Saccharomyces cerevisiae S288C: one gene and its partners. The protein of the gene in region 2 interacts with the protein of the main gene of each other region in a biochemical or structural test. Each region holds a gene or a part of one and is shown on either strand. Other genes may lie near its edges. The genes, in order: OPY1, CMK2, PIR1 and GRX4.

The links.
Region 1: the proteins of CMK2 (region 2) and OPY1 form a complex in vitro, tested with the Saccharomyces cerevisiae proteins (one large-scale study listed by BioGRID).
Region 3: the proteins of CMK2 (region 2) and PIR1 form a complex in vitro, tested with the Saccharomyces cerevisiae proteins (one large-scale study listed by BioGRID).
Region 4: the proteins of CMK2 (region 2) and GRX4 form a complex in vitro, tested with the Saccharomyces cerevisiae proteins (one large-scale study listed by BioGRID).

What each region holds. Positions count from the first base shown.
Region 1 is NC_001134.8:493,853-497,302, forward strand, and holds OPY1 (Opy1p), read right to left. Parts: upstream 1,488-3,450; coding exon 501-1,487; downstream 1-500. Other genes in the region: ATG14 (Atg14p), read right to left, coding at 1-263; SHE3 (She3p), read right to left, coding at 1,740-3,017; CCZ1 (Ccz1p), read left to right, coding at 3,311-3,450. UniProt on the Saccharomyces cerevisiae protein: Binds phosphatidylinositol 4,5-bisphosphate (PtdIns(4,5)P2/PIP2) at the cell membrane. Negatively regulates the activity of phosphatidylinositol 4-phosphate 5-kinase MSS4.
Region 2 is NC_001147.6:293,356-299,067, reverse strand, and holds CMK2 (calmodulin-dependent protein kinase CMK2), read left to right. Parts: upstream 1-2,947; coding exon 2,948-4,291; downstream 4,292-5,712. Other genes in the region: IRC10 (Irc10p), read right to left, coding at 230-1,990; ESC8 (Esc8p), read right to left, coding at 4,395-5,712.
Region 3 is NC_001143.9:140,367-145,643, forward strand, and holds PIR1 (beta-1,3-glucan linked protein), read right to left. Parts: upstream 2,454-5,277; coding exon 1,428-2,453; downstream 1-1,427. Other genes in the region: mannose-ethanolamine phosphotransferase MCD4, read right to left, coding at 1-325; PIR3 (beta-1,3-glucan linked protein), read left to right, coding at 4,035-5,012. UniProt on the Saccharomyces cerevisiae protein: Component of the outer cell wall layer. Required for stability of the cell wall and for optimal growth. Required for resistance against several antifungal and cell wall-perturbing agents and for tolerance to heat shock.
Region 4 is NC_001137.3:537,134-542,308, reverse strand, and holds GRX4 (monothiol glutaredoxin GRX4), read left to right. Parts: upstream 1-3,140; coding exon 3,141-3,875; downstream 3,876-5,175. Other genes in the region: ECM32 (RNA helicase), read right to left, coding at 1-619; YER175W-A (uncharacterized protein), read right to left, coding at 1,495-1,659; TMT1 (trans-aconitate 3-methyltransferase), read left to right, coding at 1,946-2,845; RAD24 (Rad24p), read right to left, coding at 4,030-5,175. UniProt on the Saccharomyces cerevisiae protein: Monothiol glutaredoxin involved in the biogenesis of iron-sulfur clusters. Binds one iron-sulfur cluster per dimer. The iron-sulfur cluster is bound between subunits, and is complexed by a bound glutathione and a cysteine residue from each subunit.

The DNA of each region.
Region 1 (3,450 bases), on a different chromosome or scaffold from region 2:
TTATTCTTTTTCATTCGTAAAACATCTAACTTCATGAGACTATTCATCAGGGGATCTTTCTTTTTCTCCATCCTCTTGATATCTAACTGGTCATAGTTCATGGCCTCGTTTAATATTTGTTCGACTTTCCCGTTAAGTTCTTTATTCTCATCCTTTAATAAAATTAAATCTAGTTTTAGCTTCAGTAGCAGACTTGGGCTCGTATTGATACAATGTGCACAGTACACTACATGCGCTCTATGGTGGCAAATTGGGCAATGCATGTCATACTAGGATTCTAGTTTTTAACTTTTACTTCCCTTTTTCTCTACTCGTTATCCTTCTAATCACTTTTGTATTTGGTCCTTTCCCTTAATTTTCAGCGAGGAAAAAAGTGCTTATTATCATTAAAATACAAATAAATAAATAGTTTTTTAACTAGACGTAAGGAAAACAATTACACGTATTATTTAATAGTACAAAGAAAAAAAAAGTCAATACATATTCATCATTGGCATTGCTTATATATTTTCGGCCTTTAATTTTTTTCTTATCAAAATTCCACTCTTGAAATTTATTATCCAATCCACCATATCTTGATCGTTAGCGGCTTTAAAAGATAACCTTTCATCAAATGTAATTAGCGCAAAATTAGTGTCGTCATTTTTCATCTTCGAATTATTATCAAGTTCAATACAATCGATAATTTTATCCAATTTAATGCTTTTCTTTAACTTCCCAGTCTTGAAAGAGTATAAATTGAACGAAGTATTAGTCAATTCCACATTGAACTTTTGCCATTTAGCCCTATTGAACAGTTTCTTCTTTTTCACTTTTGTGTAAAGAATCCCAGAACAAACCTGGTGCTCTGCATTTCTTGGATCGAACATCCTATAAAATTCTTTATCTTCACGAGACAGTTGCTCATCCATCGTCAAACTGCAAGAATGCTTGCTGCTAGAAGGACCCGCCTTTTCGTCAACTACAATTAAATCATCATCATCCTCTTCTTCATCATAATCACTACCTGTAGTGACACTTTCGTTGCCACTAGGACTAGAGAGGAATTTTTCAAGGGCAATTTTCCAATTATGCATCAGTTCCATACCAACCTTCTCATTTTGCCCTCGTGGAAATTTGAATATTAAATCCTTGGATGGAGTATAAACAGTTAATATACCATCGAGCTCGCTTATCTTAAAATTAAGTATGTCAAATCTCGGTATGACACTTATAGCCTCTCTTTCATCCCGAGTTTTGTAATAGGCAAATTGGTTTTTCCTCAAGACACACCAATATTGATGGTCTGTTGTCCGAGGCCACCATAAATGACGATGGTGATGATGGTGATGATGGTAACCCTGCGGTGCACCATCAGCAGCTCCATTGTTACCTGAACTGGATTGAGCTGTCGGCGTTTTATTTTGAGACGTTGATGGCTTCTTGATGAGATTCGATGCGATCAAAATTTCATGCTGACTTGACGGAGCAGTCGCACCTGCTATCATTGGTCTTATGAAATTTACCAAGGCAAAATTAGCGTAATTATTTATGGTTAATTCACCTACTGGCTACTATTGCGTACCACATTTTGGCCTGTTCGTTTAATTTCAGCCACATTATAGTAGAGAAAAAACCGTTGTGAGTGACCGAAAGTGAAAAATATGGATTCGTGTCTATAAAACCTTAGAGGCATCTATTTACTTTTGTTCTATTATCTAAATGAATCCTATATATATACTCCCTTGTGTCGGCATATTCTAGGATTGGGCCCCGTGAACAACCATACTATTTCCCTTTTTCTTATGAGTGGAGGAAACAGTTCTTGTAACACCGGGAGGCACTGAGATTGTGGGAGATGTACTTGGATCGTTATTATGCGTTACATTTGTTTTACTACTGCTCGAGCTTGGTTTTCTTACTGAGGCAGTTCTTTTAACACCAGGCAAAACCGGGGATGCAGATTTTGGAATAGAACCCGATGACAGCAAAGGCGACGCAGTATAGAAACTTCTTCTTTTATTGTTACTGCTATTACCATTGGAGGATGAATCGTTTGTGTTCGGCGTCTTTCTTAATTTGACCATCTTAATAGGAAGCATATCCTGTGCATTATTGCTACTCAAAGCGTCAGCGTTGTTGCTTTCCACCTGGGTTTGTACATTCTTCTTCAAGGTTTGTACTACCGCGCCTTTATTACTAATCTTCTCATCGTTTCTTTTCAAGACGTCTTTCAAATCCATCTTTTCAGCAAAAGTTGATATCAGATTTTCGTTCGTCTGGTACAGATTTAGCCAGCTTTGTAGATTTAACTCATCTAAAGAGTGAGTGATTATCTTGCTTAATTTTGAATCCTTTTCTGTTTCCAGAGATTTCAAATCTTTCACAGAGTCATTGAATTTATTTAAATTCAATTCTATATCTGAATTTGAACTAGTATCTGAACCATAATTTAAATTTTGATTACTTAACTCTAACTCCAACAAACCGATTTTTTCATTTAATTTGGAAATTTCATCAGAATAGTGGTCTCTGTAAAGATTTTGTGACTCCAATAATGAATTATAGTTAACTTCCATATTTTGCAATTTTTCAGAGCAAGATTGTTCAATGGCACTAGAATTTTTCGCCAATTTACTCAATTGATCCATTTTCTCCTTTTGTTCATTGTAACGGTTACTCAATTCGCTATAATCTTTCTCTAGCTCTTTTAGCTTCTTGTTCTTTCTTTCAAATATCGAGTTGAGATTTTCGTTCTCGTTCTTCAGCAGATTTAAATTTTCCAGTAGTTTTGATTCTTTGGATTGTGCTAATTCCAATTTACTCAATAAATTTTGAGATTGCGTAGTCAATTGTAGATTTGTTTTTGTCAGCATATCAATCTGGTCATGCAGTGATTCAATGACTCTCGAAGATGAGGCATTTTGGCTGGAGGTATTTCTATCTTTTGTGGGGGAACTTTCCAAGTTTGCCATAAAAATATTATGGTGAGGTGCCAACTTGCTTGAAGAAGTCTGGGTATTATCCTGGTCCGACATCTTACACAAAAGTAGTGTCGTTGAACCTTGGCGTGCTTGATAGACGAGCTAACGTTTGGTAACCCCTTCAGACTGCTGCTACTCATGGCAACAAATCAATAAACAAAATGCAATAGTAGTTAGTAATGAAGCTCTCGCCCGAACAAAAGACGAAACGAGCGGGTAACTATTTAGCCTATTTTATTGCGATGACAATAATATGTAGTAGCAATAGGGAAATAGTTTCATTTGACGTGGAACCAAAAATACATTCTAAATCGTACAACTATTAAATTGATATATGAAAGACGGATATGAGACTACACTATATTACGGTTTTTGATCCATCAAGATCTACCAACGAAAATGACACTTTCAAGCAGTTGCTGCTGTTCCATTATTTTGGCACTACTGATTCAATACCCTCTTTAAACGAAAAACTGTCCATCATAGG
Region 2 (5,712 bases):
ATTGAATGTTCATGCCCCTTGTCGGAATAAAAACGGAAAAAAGGGAGAGTAAACTAGTCTGTTGTAGCAGTAGGCAGTGATGATTATTCCTGGAAAAAATCAAAGATTCTGTCTTACACAACTTATTCAGTACAGTTTCGCTAAGTAAGGAAAGAAACTTTACAAGGGTAAAGTAGGTAAAGTTCTAAACTATATGTCAAGGGTGTCCCAAAATAAAAACTAACAGTACTTAATGAATAGAGTTCCTGGGATTGTGCTGATCCCAGTTTTCTTTGGCAGCTCTGAGCGCTTCTGCAACTCTATGTAGGCAATTTTTAAATCGGTTGACTTTTTCTCTAGATTTGTTCGGTAAAATGAGGTGTTCTTGTGATAAATTTTCTCTTTTGTTGTCACTTACGTCAACGCTCAGCCTAGGACATGATGTCTTAACCTTAATAGTTCTTCTCGACAATATATTTTTGAAATGTTCGTAATTTCTGAAGAAACTATTTTGTTTTTCAACACATACAGAACTTCTCCTCATGACAACACTTCTTACACTTTGATCTCTACTAAAGGTAGAATTTGGTGAAGCTAGATGGACTGGATAATATGGTGATGATTCCGATATTATTTTCAAATTAGGGGTCAAAATTCTGGACCACGTTGAAGGTTCCCCATACGGATCAGGAGCTGGGTTTGAGCAGACCCAATTTGCTGTTCTTCTCGAGATTGTCTTTGCAATAGCAGGAGTTATACGTTGCATTTCGGCTATCGCTTGATTAGTAGTGTCTTTTAAGGCACTTTCGTCGCTGGAAATTACTGTTGCATGTGTCAATTCGATTGAGAAGGGGTTACTATCTCTTGTGGCCTTTTGTTCCGGAAACGTAAGCAGTTTATTGCCTGAATCAGTAGAGACAGTTCTACCGATTTTTTCAAACTTCCTCTGTGTGGTGCTTTGTTCATTGCGAAAATTTGATCGGTATAAGCGATGTGTACGGTTTAAAGTAAGTTCTTGAAGGGTAGGATTGTTGCTTTCATTAATTTTTTCTAAAGAAAAATTACTTCTCAACAAATATTCAGTTTTTGCTGACGTTGTAAGTGGGAATTCGACGGAGAATGTTTTATCATCGCAAACGTTCTCACTTGTGCATGAACTTTTTGTTGTTTTTGATGTAGTGGCGTTCTTTCCCTTTTTATTCAATATCTTTTTCGATATATAGTGTAAATTTTTGGTGTCACTGTCTAGAGAAAGGAAAGTCTTTCTTGGTGTCTTTTCCCAATTTACAGATACTCTATAATTTACTGTCGTAACCGCAAAAGAATCCACTGAATCTAATTTTGACCATCTTATTGTTCGTTTGAAGGAAAAGCATAAAAATTTGCCGGTAAATTTTCCAATTTTCATACCGTCACCATGAAAAACTGCTCTTTTATCGTCAATAAAAACATTTGGAACATTAACGTTAGTTCTCAAATACAGAATTGCCTCGCCGGTTTTTTCATCCTTTACGCTCTTATATATGAGATCGTGGAAATGCTTGACAAACAAATTATTTAAATTTGCATGAGGTTCTGCAAATAGCAACATGTTGTTTTTAATCCTTCCAAGAACTTTTTTCATTAGTGCAAAATAGGGAGTGAAGACAGCATGGAAAGCGCTTTTTAACGTTTCATTCGTAAAGTTCAAACTGTTCACGGAACATTTTCCAGGCCAGTGGAATCGTACCCAATAAACAGTTGGACATAGAACTAGGACTGGCATACACTCTTCCATTTGGAGAATGGATATTAGTATAATGTAAATATAATTGATTTCATCTGGATGTCTCTCAAAGTCAGCAACGCTGATTCGTTGGATGTATTTGTTTGAACCTGCCAACAGCCTGAAGTACTCTAATTTTTGTTTGTATGTAGCGAAATTAGTAAATTTAGCCAATCTTAGCATGCCTCTAGAAAATGATATATTGATGCTTTCGAAGCCTGGTAATCTAGAGTATTCAATGAACATGATTGAAAAAGCACTAGGCCAGGTGATTATACCGCAGACTTACGGTAATATAAGGGCAAGAGAACTAAAAAAATCAATAATGTAGGCTTATATTACAGTTCTTTGTGAGATATTCCTTTCTAGAGCGTTTTCTGTGTCCACTCAATTAATATATACACTTCCCGTATCCTAACATTTACTGACACAATGATAGGCACAACGCGCGAAGGAGCGGTGGGGCTTTGAACAATAAGGACCCTTACATAGAAAAGGCGTTAGAACAACAATATGGTTAGGCCATAGAAACCTCGGTGTCTTTTAGGAACTTCACAGAATAGAACATACTGCAGTAGATATAAATACACCACTGGGGCAATGCAGCCTGGTTTTTTCCAAATATACAAAACACTTCATGATACTTACTAATGGTCGTTGATACAGTACTCATTGTATCATTGCAGGAGAGTTAGGTTGGCTTTTTTGCATTTATTTATTTATTCATTTACTCAATTGACAGGCAATGTCAATGATTTTTTGGAAGAAATTTGCCTAATGTTTTTACTCAGTTACTCACCGCTCCCTGGATAACATAAGGTTCATTTGCTTCCGTACTGATTTTTTTTGGCAGTCTATAAGCCACTATGTACTTCCCAATGCTCCTGCAGGCATATTCTTTTTCAATTTTCATGTTTTTACTTCCAGTCGTTGAGCATCATATGGATTCTATGTTGATGAGGCTTTTCAGAACGTGCTGTACTTTCGGAGAAGCGCCCGCTTTAACGCAGCGCGAAGAGAATAATTGAGGCTTATCTTAGAACCCTGCCCCCTTTGAAGCCACCCATTGCTGTTTCTCTTGGTAATCCTAATAATATAAAACAATACGATATTGTTCAAGATCAGCAGAACTTCAATTCGTTGATCAATCTTTTCGTCACCTTTTCTTCTATCACATCGCCAATATAAATATAGACACCAAAAATGCCCAAGGAGTCAGAGGTCATAAATTCTGAATTTCATGTAGATGTCCAAGATCCAGAGCGTCTAAACGGCCACCCTGTAGCAAAATTTATCAATAAATTAAGCGGTCAACCTGAATCTTACGTCAACAGGACTAATTATATTTTCGGTCGAACACTGGGTGCCGGTTCCTTCGGTGTTGTGAGACAAGCCAGAAAGTTGTCCACAAATGAAGATGTTGCTATAAAGATCTTATTGAAGAAGGCATTGCAGGGAAACAATGTGCAATTACAGATGCTGTACGAAGAGCTGTCCATTCTTCAAAAATTGAGTCATCCGAACATTGTGTCATTCAAGGATTGGTTTGAATCGAAGGATAAGTTCTATATTGTCACTCAGCTGGCAACAGGAGGTGAATTATTTGATAGAATTCTGTCTAGAGGGAAGTTCACAGAAGTGGATGCTGTTGAAATCATAGTTCAGATTCTTGGTGCCGTGGAGTATATGCATTCCAAGAATGTTGTTCATAGGGATTTGAAACCTGAGAACGTTTTGTATGTTGATAAGTCAGAAAATTCGCCTCTGGTAATTGCGGACTTCGGTATAGCTAAACAATTGAAGGGGGAGGAGGATTTGATATACAAAGCAGCCGGATCGTTGGGTTATGTGGCACCAGAAGTCCTCACACAAGATGGACATGGTAAGCCTTGTGATATATGGTCCATTGGTGTGATCACATATACTTTACTGTGCGGTTATTCTCCTTTTATTGCCGAAAGCGTTGAAGGATTCATGGAGGAATGTACAGCTTCGAGATACCCGGTAACCTTCCATATGCCATATTGGGATAACATATCTATTGATGTTAAGCGTTTCATCTTGAAGGCATTGAGATTGAATCCAGCTGACAGACCAACTGCTACGGAATTGCTGGACGATCCATGGATTACTTCAAAGAGAGTTGAAACTAGTAATATTTTACCAGACGTTAAGAAAGGGTTTTCTTTGCGTAAGAAATTACGTGACGCTATTGAAATTGTGAAGCTTAATAATAGAATTAAGAGGTTAAGAAATATGTATTCATTAGGGGACGATGGCGATAACGATATAGAAGAGAATTCCCTCAATGAAAGTCTTCTGGACGGCGTCACACATTCGTTGGATGATTTACGTCTGCAATCTCAGAAGAAAGGGGGAGAACTAACAGAAGAGCAAATGAAATTGAAGTCTGCATTAACAAAGGATGCCTTTGTTCAAATTGTCAAAGCTGCAACAAAGAATAAACATAAAGTTTTGGCTGGTGAAGAGGAAGACGATAGCAAGAAAACACTGCATGATGATCGGGAGTCGAAGTCAGAAGACTAAATTACGGACTTGAATTCGTGTACATAAATTCGTATATAATATTTAATGTGTAAAGCTAGTGACGATTTTATGTAACCAGCAGCTACACTTCATGGCATTCAAACTATAGACCTTTTCTGGCATTACGCCTCAAGCTTCTTTTTTCCCGAGAATTATCTTGTAGTTGCCTAACGGGTTCTGAGAAGATCTCTATATCATCACAATTCCTATCACAATCTTTAGCGCCATTGTGTAATTCTCTTTTCCCAAAAGATTTATCTGTCCTATCTTCACCTTTTCTTGTCAATGTATTCTCCTCACTCAGATATTCTGAATCATAGTCATCGCTAACGTCAATGTCAACTTCATTTTCACTTTCCTCGGAAACGTCACCATTTACATCACTCGAGTAATGCACCGTGGTTCTTCTCTGAGAGCTTGTTCGCAAATGACGTCCTTCAGTACTGCCTGTAGGGGCAGCAGTTATGCGCTGAATAGTCTCATTTATGAATATACTGAAAATTTTCAAAAACTCAATTAGATTGTCTATACCCTTTTTTGTATCATCGGTGTCATTTTCAGTAAGTGATGATAAACTTTCCAAATACTCAATGAAGTTGCTCAAAGAATTCGAGTCTCCTGCAACTTCAAACCAATGCGGCACCTCGGCAAAGTGAACATCATTGAACTGTAAATTACGGATACATGCAGGAGTGTTCCTATATATAAGTTTAAGTTGACACTTGTTTTCATTTTGTGCGGTTTTTGCAGGCAGTATTTTTGTACCCTCCTCTTTGAATTTTACGAAGTAATTAAGATAAGTTGACATGTCATTGAAACTGTAACTAGTGTTTACTGAACTGCATTCGTTGCCAATCCAGAATGGTGGTAAGTAGAAATCTCCAACTCGTGGAATTCTCGCTATCATAAACTCTGATGTCCTTAACTTGTAAATTTCGTCTACGGTGGGATCATCAATTGGTGTGTGTGTAAATTCGTTTGCAAAATATTCACCCCATTCTTCATTTATTTTAACTGCAGCTCGTAATCTGTCTGTAGTTACTTTTTCGCTCAATGATTTCCGAACACCCTTTAGAAATTTCATCTGACTATTGATCTTACTCAGTTTTCCTTTGTCGCTGGGCTTCCTTTTCTTTCGATTTTCCAACTTTTGACTCATCAAAGAGCATAAAACTTCACAACTATCTAATATGTTATTGGCCCCGCACATAGCAAACCTGCTGGCGTGAAAAGTTTGATGGTTGAACCCTGTATCGCCTTTCAAGTGAGTGAGCCTTTGAATTTCATTATGGAAAAGTGCGGAGTAGCTACAATTCCAATCGATCATGCATCTCAATAATATTATTCTATCTAATGGTTCCATCGTCAACAAACCACCTCCATTAAAATTTAGAGTAGATAAAATATCACTATTACCACGC
Region 3 (5,277 bases), on a different chromosome or scaffold from region 2:
CATGACCAGGACGGGATTCAGTTGGCATTCTGGTATGTGATATACCGTAGGTGGCATTATTCATTACCAAAGATCTAATAAAAGGTGCCAGAAATTCTGTTTTTCCGGATACTGGATGAGTGACTTTATCAAAAGTGGTATCTGCACGTAAACCATCACCGACAATCAAAAACAATCTCTTTGCAGGAGGGGTTGGAGTACTTTGATATGGGCTCATACCATGAACGAGCGGTGAAATGAAATAGATATCAAAAATAGACCATAGGTAAAATAAATGAAATAAGACACCAACAGCCAGAAGCGTCGTTCTGGTTTTGTTCCACATTTTTTACAGATTTCAGTTGTATGAGTCCTAAGGCTCTTCAATGCTTTGGTCGAAGATGGGTTGTTGAATATATAGTAAAGAACGGTTCTTTTTACCTTTAAGGTTTTTTTTTCGCGTTTAATGACAGCGATGCAAAAAGAATACACATATTATTTACGTGGCATCAACATATACATATTCAACGATTAACATCCTGTAGTTTAGGACGAAAAGACACATATGAAATACATATCTATGAAAAGTACTGCACCATAATGATTCAACAAAATAAAATGAGTAACATTAACATCACGCTAGTACTGCTAGATTAAAAATAATAATGAAAACTCCGATACGGGGAGTCGAACCCCGGTCTCCACGGTGAAAGCGTGATGTGATAGCCGTTACACTATATCGGATTACAAAGGATAGAAAATTGAAACGTAATGGAATTACTCATGTAAATATTAAAGAACTCTTTTCATTTACATGGATAATTGGTGAATGTTGTGGGGAATGTTGGATTTCATTGCTGTTAAAGGCTATAATATTATGTGTACAGAATACACCGTGTGTGATAATATACTAGTAACACGTATACTACTAAATGGATGATAATATGCATGTCAATTTTCTTAAATTTTGACTGAGATAGTGACGAATATATGGCATTATAAGATGACAACAATTTGTTTCCTTCTCAAATGAGAAAGGGCTCCACGGTACACAAAGTAATGTCTGAGAAATATTCTGTCCCAGGAATAGTTGAAGTTGCATCCGATTTCAATCCCGTGAAGTCTTGGTACTATCAAATTCGTTGGTTTTTTTTCTGGGAAAACTCTATCAAAGTATAAGGTGCGCTTTTAACGTAATTTATAATGATTTTTTAGAAATAATAATGTATATAGTATAAAAAAATAAACAAACTTTAAAAAAAAGAGTGAAGAACTGTAAAGCTCATTTCATAGGTTTCAAAAGAAAGCTTTATGAAATGAAGAGACGAATTAAGAAGAAAAAAATGAACCGACCCAAATTATGCCCTTTGGAGACAGAAATGACTAATGTACAGAATATGCTACGATGACTTTATGTTTTCATGCGACTATGAGAGGTAAACTTATGATTAACAGTTGAGCAAATCGATAGCTTGTAGGTGGACTGCATTACATTGAGTTCCAATGTGCTCATCGTATAAGTTGTAGAAGTTTCCTGACAAACATTGGTAAAAAGTATCCTGGTCACCGATGGCCAAGTTACCTTCTGGGGTGATGGACCAACCAGCAGCATAGATAGCACCAGCTTGTGGTGGAGGACCATCGAATTGGAATTGTCTGTTGGCAACGATAGAACCAATTCTACCTTTACCGTCAGTCAGGATACCACCCTTTAAGTTCATTTCTAAAGTGCCACTGCTTTTACATGTTTCAGCAGTTACTGGGTCAGTGCCATTAGTAATTGGAGCTGGAGCTGGAGATGGTATAATGGTTGCAGAAGTTAAAGTTGTGGCTTGGATTTGGCCATCAGTGATTTGGGAGACTGGAGCAACAGTAGTATTGGTGGTGGCTTGGATTTGACCGTCACCAATTTGAGAAACAGCAGCAGCAGTGGTTTTAGTAGTGGCTTGGATTTGACCGTCACCAATTTGAGAGACAGCTGCAGCAGTTGTTTTGGTAGTGGCTTGGATTTGACCGTCACCAATTTGAGAGACAGCAGCAGCTTTGGTTTTAGTAGTGGCTTGAATTTGACCGTCACCAATTTGGGAGACGGCTGCAGCGGTAGTCTTAGCTGAGGTAGTCTTGGTGGTGGCTTGGATTTGGCCGTCACCAATTTGAGAGACAGCAGCAGCTTTGGTTTTAGTAGTGGCTTGGATTTGACCGTCACCAATTTGAGAAACAGCAGCAGCAGTGGTTTTGGTAGTGGCTTGGATTTGACCGTCACCAATTTGAGAGATAGCAGCGGCTCTCTTAGCCTTGGAGGAAGCAGTAGTGGCAATTGGTTCAACAGCAATACCGAAAGTAGAAGAGTAATCAGTTATACCACCCTTGTAAGTAGCTGATGGAGTTAAAGTGGACCACGGGTCCTTTGGAGCATAGGCAGCTAAAGATGTAGCAACTAAGGCGGAGGCAACTAATGATTTTTTGTATTGCATTTTCTAGAATATACTATTAGGGGAGTTTTGTAGTTTGTTTTTTTTTAATACCAGTGTATTAACTTTTGTTTTCTTGATGATATTATTCTTATACAGTAATAGAGAAGATAGGACAACTATGCATAAAGTAGTAAAGATCTTGCTCCTTTTTATATGTGAGAATTGTAGCATTACGATCTTCTTATTGAAAGAATAATTAGTATACCAGCGTTCTAATATTTGGGCAGGAGAGATTGACTGGACACAGTCTAAACCCTTTCAGATACATGGGCTAAATGATGGTCCATCGTATTATTAAAGCAAGTAATCGAGCTCCAAGAAGGATTTACGTCCGCCATCTCAATTTCTTTTATTAGCGTTGCTTCTATAATTGGCAGGACATAAAAAGGCTGCTAATAATAAATGATGATATAATTAAGAGCAAGCTGGCCGATCTCTCCATTTTTATGCGCTCCAAGCCACGTCATTTTCCGATGACAGGAATGCTTTGCATATTTCATATGAGATATACATTGACTCCTTTTCGACCAACCGTTTCATTAAAGGGGCAGCAGCTGTCAAAAAAGTAGCCGAAAAAGGCGTCTGGCTTCGAGGAATTATTACCTAAATAGGAAAGGCAGAATATATTAGAAAAAAAAGAAAAACCAAATGAGAAAAGTGCTGGTGCTAAATAAAACATTATTGAGGGGCCAAGAGGGGACAAAAGAAGATATAACTAGATCATTAAGTTTTCGCTCTAGTAACAGGAACAAAGATTGTGAGATACACTGTTATGCTAAGAGACGGTGCGATATTCTGTACGAAAATTATTTAACTATTAACTAAATGTATACCACTTCACGTGCCACCGAGTAGGTTTCTAAAATGTGCAACCATTTTAGGTATGTGCGCAGCTCTTTATTCTAAACGGGAGTCACTACATTACTATTATCGTGTTTTTGCCCATGTACTTTCTTATAATCTTAAGACAACAACGGGATGATAGGCGCATTCGGACTTTCATTGATGCAAATGTGTGAAAAATGCATCCAAAAGACAACTTTTGTACAGAATACAATTGCAAAAATACTTTACGGGCATAGATCGGTAAGGTCACCGGGAAGCTAGCGTAAGAGACCTTATTCGGAACCGAGCAACCATTTCCGAATGTAGTAGTAGTTGAAGGAGTAAATCGACCTTATTGTACACTACTTCCTTTAAATTTGATTTCTGGCCCCGCGCAATTTCTTGGCGGTTAAGCTGTATTTTTACCTCATCGGGAAAAGTTATTGCAAGTTAAAGGGGATCAAACGATTAGCAAACTAATTATAGATCAAAGGCCGAGGGCTTTCTAAATTTGGCATATTTCGCCGTCGACTGAAATAGAAGGGATAAATCATGCATCTCCAGGATTATCCCTACTCCATTCATTACAACATGCGCCAAATCAAGCCTATATAAGATTCTCGTCATTTAGCATGCTCTATTGATTTGTGTCTTGTTTTGTCTAACACTGAAACTGTAACCTAAGATTTCTTTAGATAATTATTACATTTACATCAATAAGAAATCTCATAAAACAAGTACTGTTTATAAGTAAAAATGCAATATAAAAAGCCATTAGTCGTCTCCGCTTTAGCTGCTACATCTTTAGCTGCCTATGCTCCAAAGGACCCGTGGTCCACTTTAACTCCATCAGCTACTTACAAGGGTGGTATAACAGATTACTCTTCGAGTTTCGGTATTGCTATTGAAGCCGTGGCTACCAGTGCTTCCTCCGTCGCCTCATCTAAAGCAAAGAGAGCCGCCTCTCAGATAGGTGATGGTCAAGTACAGGCTGCCACTACTACTGCTGCTGTTTCTAAGAAATCCACCGCTGCTGCTGTTTCTCAAATAACTGACGGTCAAGTTCAAGCTGCTAAGTCTACTGCCGCTGCTGTTTCCCAAATAACTGACGGTCAAGTTCAAGCTGCTAAGTCTACTGCCGCTGCCGTTTCTCAAATAACTGACGGTCAAGTTCAAGCTGCTAAGTCTACTGCCGCTGCCGTTTCTCAAATAACTGATGGTCAAGTTCAAGCTGCCAAGTCTACTGCTGCCGCTGCCTCTCAGATTTCTGACGGCCAAGTTCAGGCCACTACCTCTACTAAGGCTGCTGCATCCCAAATTACAGATGGGCAGATACAAGCATCTAAAACTACCAGTGGCGCTAGTCAAGTAAGTGATGGCCAAGTCCAGGCTACTGCTGAAGTGAAAGACGCTAACGATCCAGTCGATGTTGTTTCCTGTAATAACAATAGTACCTTGTCAATGAGTTTAAGCAAGGGTATCTTAACCGATAGGAAGGGTAGAATTGGCTCTATCGTTGCCAACAGACAGTTCCAATTCGATGGTCCTCCACCACAAGCTGGTGCTATCTATGCTGCTGGTTGGTCCATCACCCCAGAAGGTAACTTAGCTCTTGGTGACCAGGATACTTTTTACCAATGTTTGTCTGGTGACTTCTATAACTTGTATGATAAGCACATTGGTTCTCAGTGCCATGAAGTTTATTTGCAAGCTATAGATTTAATTGACTGTTGAACGATGCATCGATCAATCGGAGTCGTCCTCCTTTAACTTCACGAATTAGTTGCCACTCTCATTCCCCACACATAAACTTGTTTTATGGCATCCTTTTCATTTAGCATGTCTTTATTTCCAAACCTTTCCTCGTTCTTTGCATTCATTTAGCGTTTGCTCGAGAAAGCATCACGTTTTCACACATTATCGTTCGTCGCTATAATAAAAATAGTTATAGAATTTACTCAGATTTACATGTCGTACCTTTTTAATTGTAAAAAAAAAA
Region 4 (5,175 bases), on a different chromosome or scaffold from region 2:
TACTATTTTCTTTCTTGACTTCATAAGCGATTCTACTTATTTTGGCCTCGAAAGTTTCCTTTTTCTCCTTCTTAATCTTAGCACCCTTCCTGCCCTTCTTTCCTCTACCAACTCTTCTGCCGCCCTTTTTTCTAGGCTTTCTAGTGCTATTCTGTGTTTCATTCAGTCCCAAGTAGATGTATAGGAATCTTCCACTTTTTTCAGAAACAAAGTCTTTAGCTCTATTCGATTTGGGCAAGCACTTGTCACATAATACTTCTCCATTTCTATTTGCATTCAAGTTAGACTCTTCCCCACACTCATCACAACAACATTCCCTGACTTTCACGTACTTTTCCCAAAATTTCAATATAGAGCCGTTTTGTAATGAGTAGCTAGTTGATGGACGCTCCGTTTCTGAATATTCTTTCCGAAAACACGAATTACAAAGTAAAACCATGTCTTCACCCCCAAACCTGATGATTTGAAGTTGGTGTATATTTTTATCTTGACATTCCTCACAGCAAATATCTTCATCATTTGAAGTGTCGAATACAGTTTTATGCCTCGTACTTGAGAGATGCTTCATCATCTGCTCAGCATCATAAGCCTGGCTACACGTTCTGCACTGAAAATCCATCGTGTAGTACTTCTTAGTCTGCGGAACTCCTTATATTGTCACAACTTTGTTCGAATTCTTCAAATGATGAACTTACATTATACATCACTCTTGAGCATTTTAAGACTCTAAAATCGCATACAAATAGCATCCATTACCCGACTACACAGGAATAAAATACGGCGGAAATATAAAAAAAAAAAAATAGCGGCATCTTCAATATCTCTGTACTGATTACTAAATAGACGGTAACCAATTCACGTTGCCGATCGAGGTGTGACACATCACTGTCATGTTCATTTTACAATTCTTATTGAGTGAGAGCGCTTGTATAGAATTTCTATCTTTCTTTTAAGAGGTGCAGTTCAAGTAGGATTTAGTTGGAAATGATAACTTGTTTGAGTAAGCTTTGGTTCCGCTTGTTATGACCTGCTTCATTCTCATATAACCTCATTTGTTAAAAATCTAAAAAAGAATCAATTTCTTCGATTATAAGTGCGTACCAAAAAAGCGGCTAATTTTGGTATTTGTGATATCAAATATACATTGCAACCCAATTTTCATCATTGCGCTTGAGTTTACTATTTCAAGTCGGTGTGGTGAAAGGTCTCTCCAATATTTGGGTACCAATTTATCGAAGCAGCTGAAATTTTACGATGTTAGATCGATTCCCGTGTCTGACAGTGTTTGGGCTGCAAATTTTTTGTGCTTCTTGAAGGCAACATGTGAGATCGGGAAGTAAAGCCCGCCAGAGTATGTTCTCAGTAAGTCATATTGACATAACACTTGGATCAATTGCGTATTTAGAAATTAATTCCTGTTTTATTTTAAGATGCTGACATTTCAATTATAGATTTTTAGCCTGTCTTATACCACCTAGAATAATTTGCTAATGTTTAGAAACTGATCTTGGTGCTCACGCTAATATTAAAAAATATACCCTGCCTCAATATCATTATGAGTATTTTATTCTCAAATATCATCCGCGAATTTTCTTGCAGAATATTTCTACAACCACGTTTGTTTTGACTAAAACAGATAAATGTTTTATGTAGTCTCATGCATTGTTAAATGACCAATAAAAAGGGTGTTCCATCAACCTATCTAATCAGAAAAATTAGGTGCAATTCTGCCGTTGTTTACTATAAATGAATCACACCTTATGTGTTGATGTTCATGACTCACAGTAATATCCTTTTTTTTTCTGGTTTTCCGAAAGTTTATCTTCCTTATTTTCATTTTTAAAGGAAAAGGAATGTAACTAATTTAGTATGTTTTCGTTGTAGCAGTCTTTATTAGTTGTTATGAGAATTATCTCCTAACAAGATAACAAAATAAGTGATAATAATGTCTACCTTTTCTGCTTCTGATTTCAACTCAGAAAGATATTCATCTTCAAGACCTTCTTATCCCTCCGATTTTTACAAGATGATTGATGAATACCACGACGGAGAAAGGAAATTACTCGTAGATGTTGGCTGTGGACCAGGTACTGCCACTTTACAAATGGCTCAGGAGTTAAAACCATTCGAACAAATTATCGGAAGCGATCTCTCCGCTACCATGATTAAGACTGCAGAAGTAATAAAGGAAGGAAGTCCTGATACATACAAAAACGTTTCATTTAAGATTTCTTCAAGTGATGATTTTAAATTCCTAGGCGCGGATTCAGTAGACAAACAGAAAATTGATATGATTACCGCAGTAGAATGTGCTCATTGGTTCGATTTCGAAAAATTTCAGCGATCTGCTTATGCCAATTTGAGAAAAGATGGTACTATCGCTATTTGGGGTTATGCGGACCCAATTTTCCCGGACTACCCTGAATTTGATGATCTGATGATTGAAGTTCCTTACGGGAAGCAAGGACTGGGACCCTATTGGGAACAACCGGGGAGATCTCGCCTTCGTAATATGCTGAAAGACTCTCACTTAGACCCAGAACTTTTCCATGATATACAAGTTTCATATTTTTGTGCAGAAGATGTGAGAGACAAAGTAAAACTCCACCAGCATACAAAGAAGCCATTGCTAATCAGAAAGCAGGTCACCCTAGTGGAGTTTGCAGATTATGTCAGAACCTGGAGCGCTTACCATCAGTGGAAGCAGGATCCAAAGAACAAAGATAAAGAAGATGTAGCAGATTGGTTTATTAAAGAGTCACTAAGGAGGAGGCCGGAACTTTCCACCAACACCAAAATTGAAGTTGTTTGGAATACTTTTTACAAACTTGGCAAAAGGGTCTGAAAATTTCAGCCAATAAGCATTATATTCGTGAAATTTTAGTAAGAGCGCGCGTTTTAATTGGTGAAGCCTCGCGACGTATTCACAGATGTCCTAGAAAAAGTTACCATATCTGAAGACTGGTTGATATTTAGCTTAAATAGCATATTAATACTGTACCAGTTGAACCATTTTTTAATCTGTTACTGCCAGGAACGTTGATTCGTTTTCCCGGTAACATTGTTGTCTTTGGGTACTGAGCATATTTCATTTTTCCACTTACATATAACTAAATTTCTGTGCTCTTCCTCCAATAAATATGACTGTGGTTGAAATAAAAAGCCAGGACCAATTTACGCAACTAACCACTACAAACGCTGCTAATAAACTCATTGTCTTATATTTTAAAGCTCAATGGGCTGATCCTTGCAAAACTATGAGCCAGGTGCTAGAAGCTGTTAGTGAAAAAGTTAGGCAAGAGGATGTCCGGTTTTTATCAATAGATGCAGACGAACATCCAGAAATATCAGACCTTTTTGAGATTGCAGCCGTACCATACTTCGTCTTCATTCAAAATGGTACTATTGTAAAAGAAATATCAGCCGCAGATCCTAAGGAGTTTGTGAAAAGCTTAGAAATTCTTTCGAATGCTTCTGCCTCACTAGCGAACAATGCCAAGGGTCCTAAATCTACGTCTGATGAGGAAAGCAGCGGGTCTTCCGATGATGAAGAGGACGAAACTGAAGAAGAAATAAATGCTAGGCTGGTGAAGCTAGTACAAGCTGCACCTGTGATGCTATTCATGAAAGGAAGCCCATCAGAACCTAAATGCGGATTTTCTAGACAGTTAGTTGGTATCCTCAGAGAACACCAAATAAGGTTCGGATTTTTTGATATATTAAGAGACGAAAACGTTAGACAAAGCTTGAAGAAGTTTTCTGATTGGCCTACTTTTCCTCAGTTATATATCAATGGGGAGTTCCAGGGAGGTTTGGATATTATCAAGGAATCTATAGAAGAAGATCCTGAATATTTCCAACATGCTCTACAGTAAGCCTTATTTTGTAATGAAAACTATATTCATACATATATACATATTAATATATATGTATATATTTTTATTTATTAATTTATTCTAGAATGTAATGTGCATAGATTTGTGTGGAATATTTCCTGGGGTTTTCTCGTCAAATTTAAAGAGTAAAAAGTTAGAGTATTTCCAGATCTGAATCTGAAAGGGACTCACTGATAACTGGCGCTTTACGCGGCTGTCTCTGGGACAGAATTTCACATAGAGACTCGTCTTCGTCGCTTCTACCAAATGTTTCATTGCCAATATTATTGCTGTTATCGCTATCGCTATCGACAATAGGGTCATCATTAAAAGAAGTTTCTTCGTCTTCAAGATCGTCGTTAGCCATCATCACATTTCTTTCATATTGGTCAATCAACATGCGAAGCCTTCTGTCCCTTTCCTTTTTTTGATCCTCTAAATGGTCACAATTATTGCTATCATTATCCATCAATGGTGCTAGTCCATCCTCCACAGATAGTGCTTCGATAGGCCCGCCTATCCGATCCACAACGTCGATTCCGTTCTCAACTTTCATTATATCACTAAATTTGTCCATGGTTTGTTTGGGCCCCGAGGAGCCACTCGGAAGATTCTTCAAATAATAGAGAATGTATTTTTTTTTATAACTCTGACACTTTCTAATTAGAGGTGCGTAGTAGCCAAATTCTAGAGTTATATTCCTGAAAGAATGTACCGCGTTGTACTTATAAAGACTAACATTTAACCAATCTTCAGCTTGAACTTTAAATGAATTTTGTAATTTTCTTACTTTCCATTCTCTTGGAAAATAAACCGTTCCATGATTATGGCCTTGTTTACTGATGTTACGAAAGGTTTTGCGCACTTCTCGTAAACCATACTCATTGGATTCTGGTAGACCATTCATATTATCACACTCGCTCAGGCAATCCACAATTGATGATGCATCAGAAATGCTGAATTCGCCTTTATTAAATGTGTTATAGTTCTCTAATATTCCTAATTTGAAATCCTCTTTCGATAACAAATTGTTCGAATTTTCGAAGAGGTTATTAATCATTTCGTTATCGTTATTCGTGCTATGGGAACCATGTATCACCTTCCCAATGGCATGAAAGTATGATATGGTGGATTCTCGGGTTGAAATCGGCAAACTTCCACTTGATGTCGCCCAAAATTGAAGGGTCGTAATGGCCGACCTAATATCACCAGTCTCTTGCGCAATATAATCTATGACTTCCTGTCTTTTATTCCATTTATTTTTCTCCTTCAACATTTTCATATTCTGTACACAAATAAA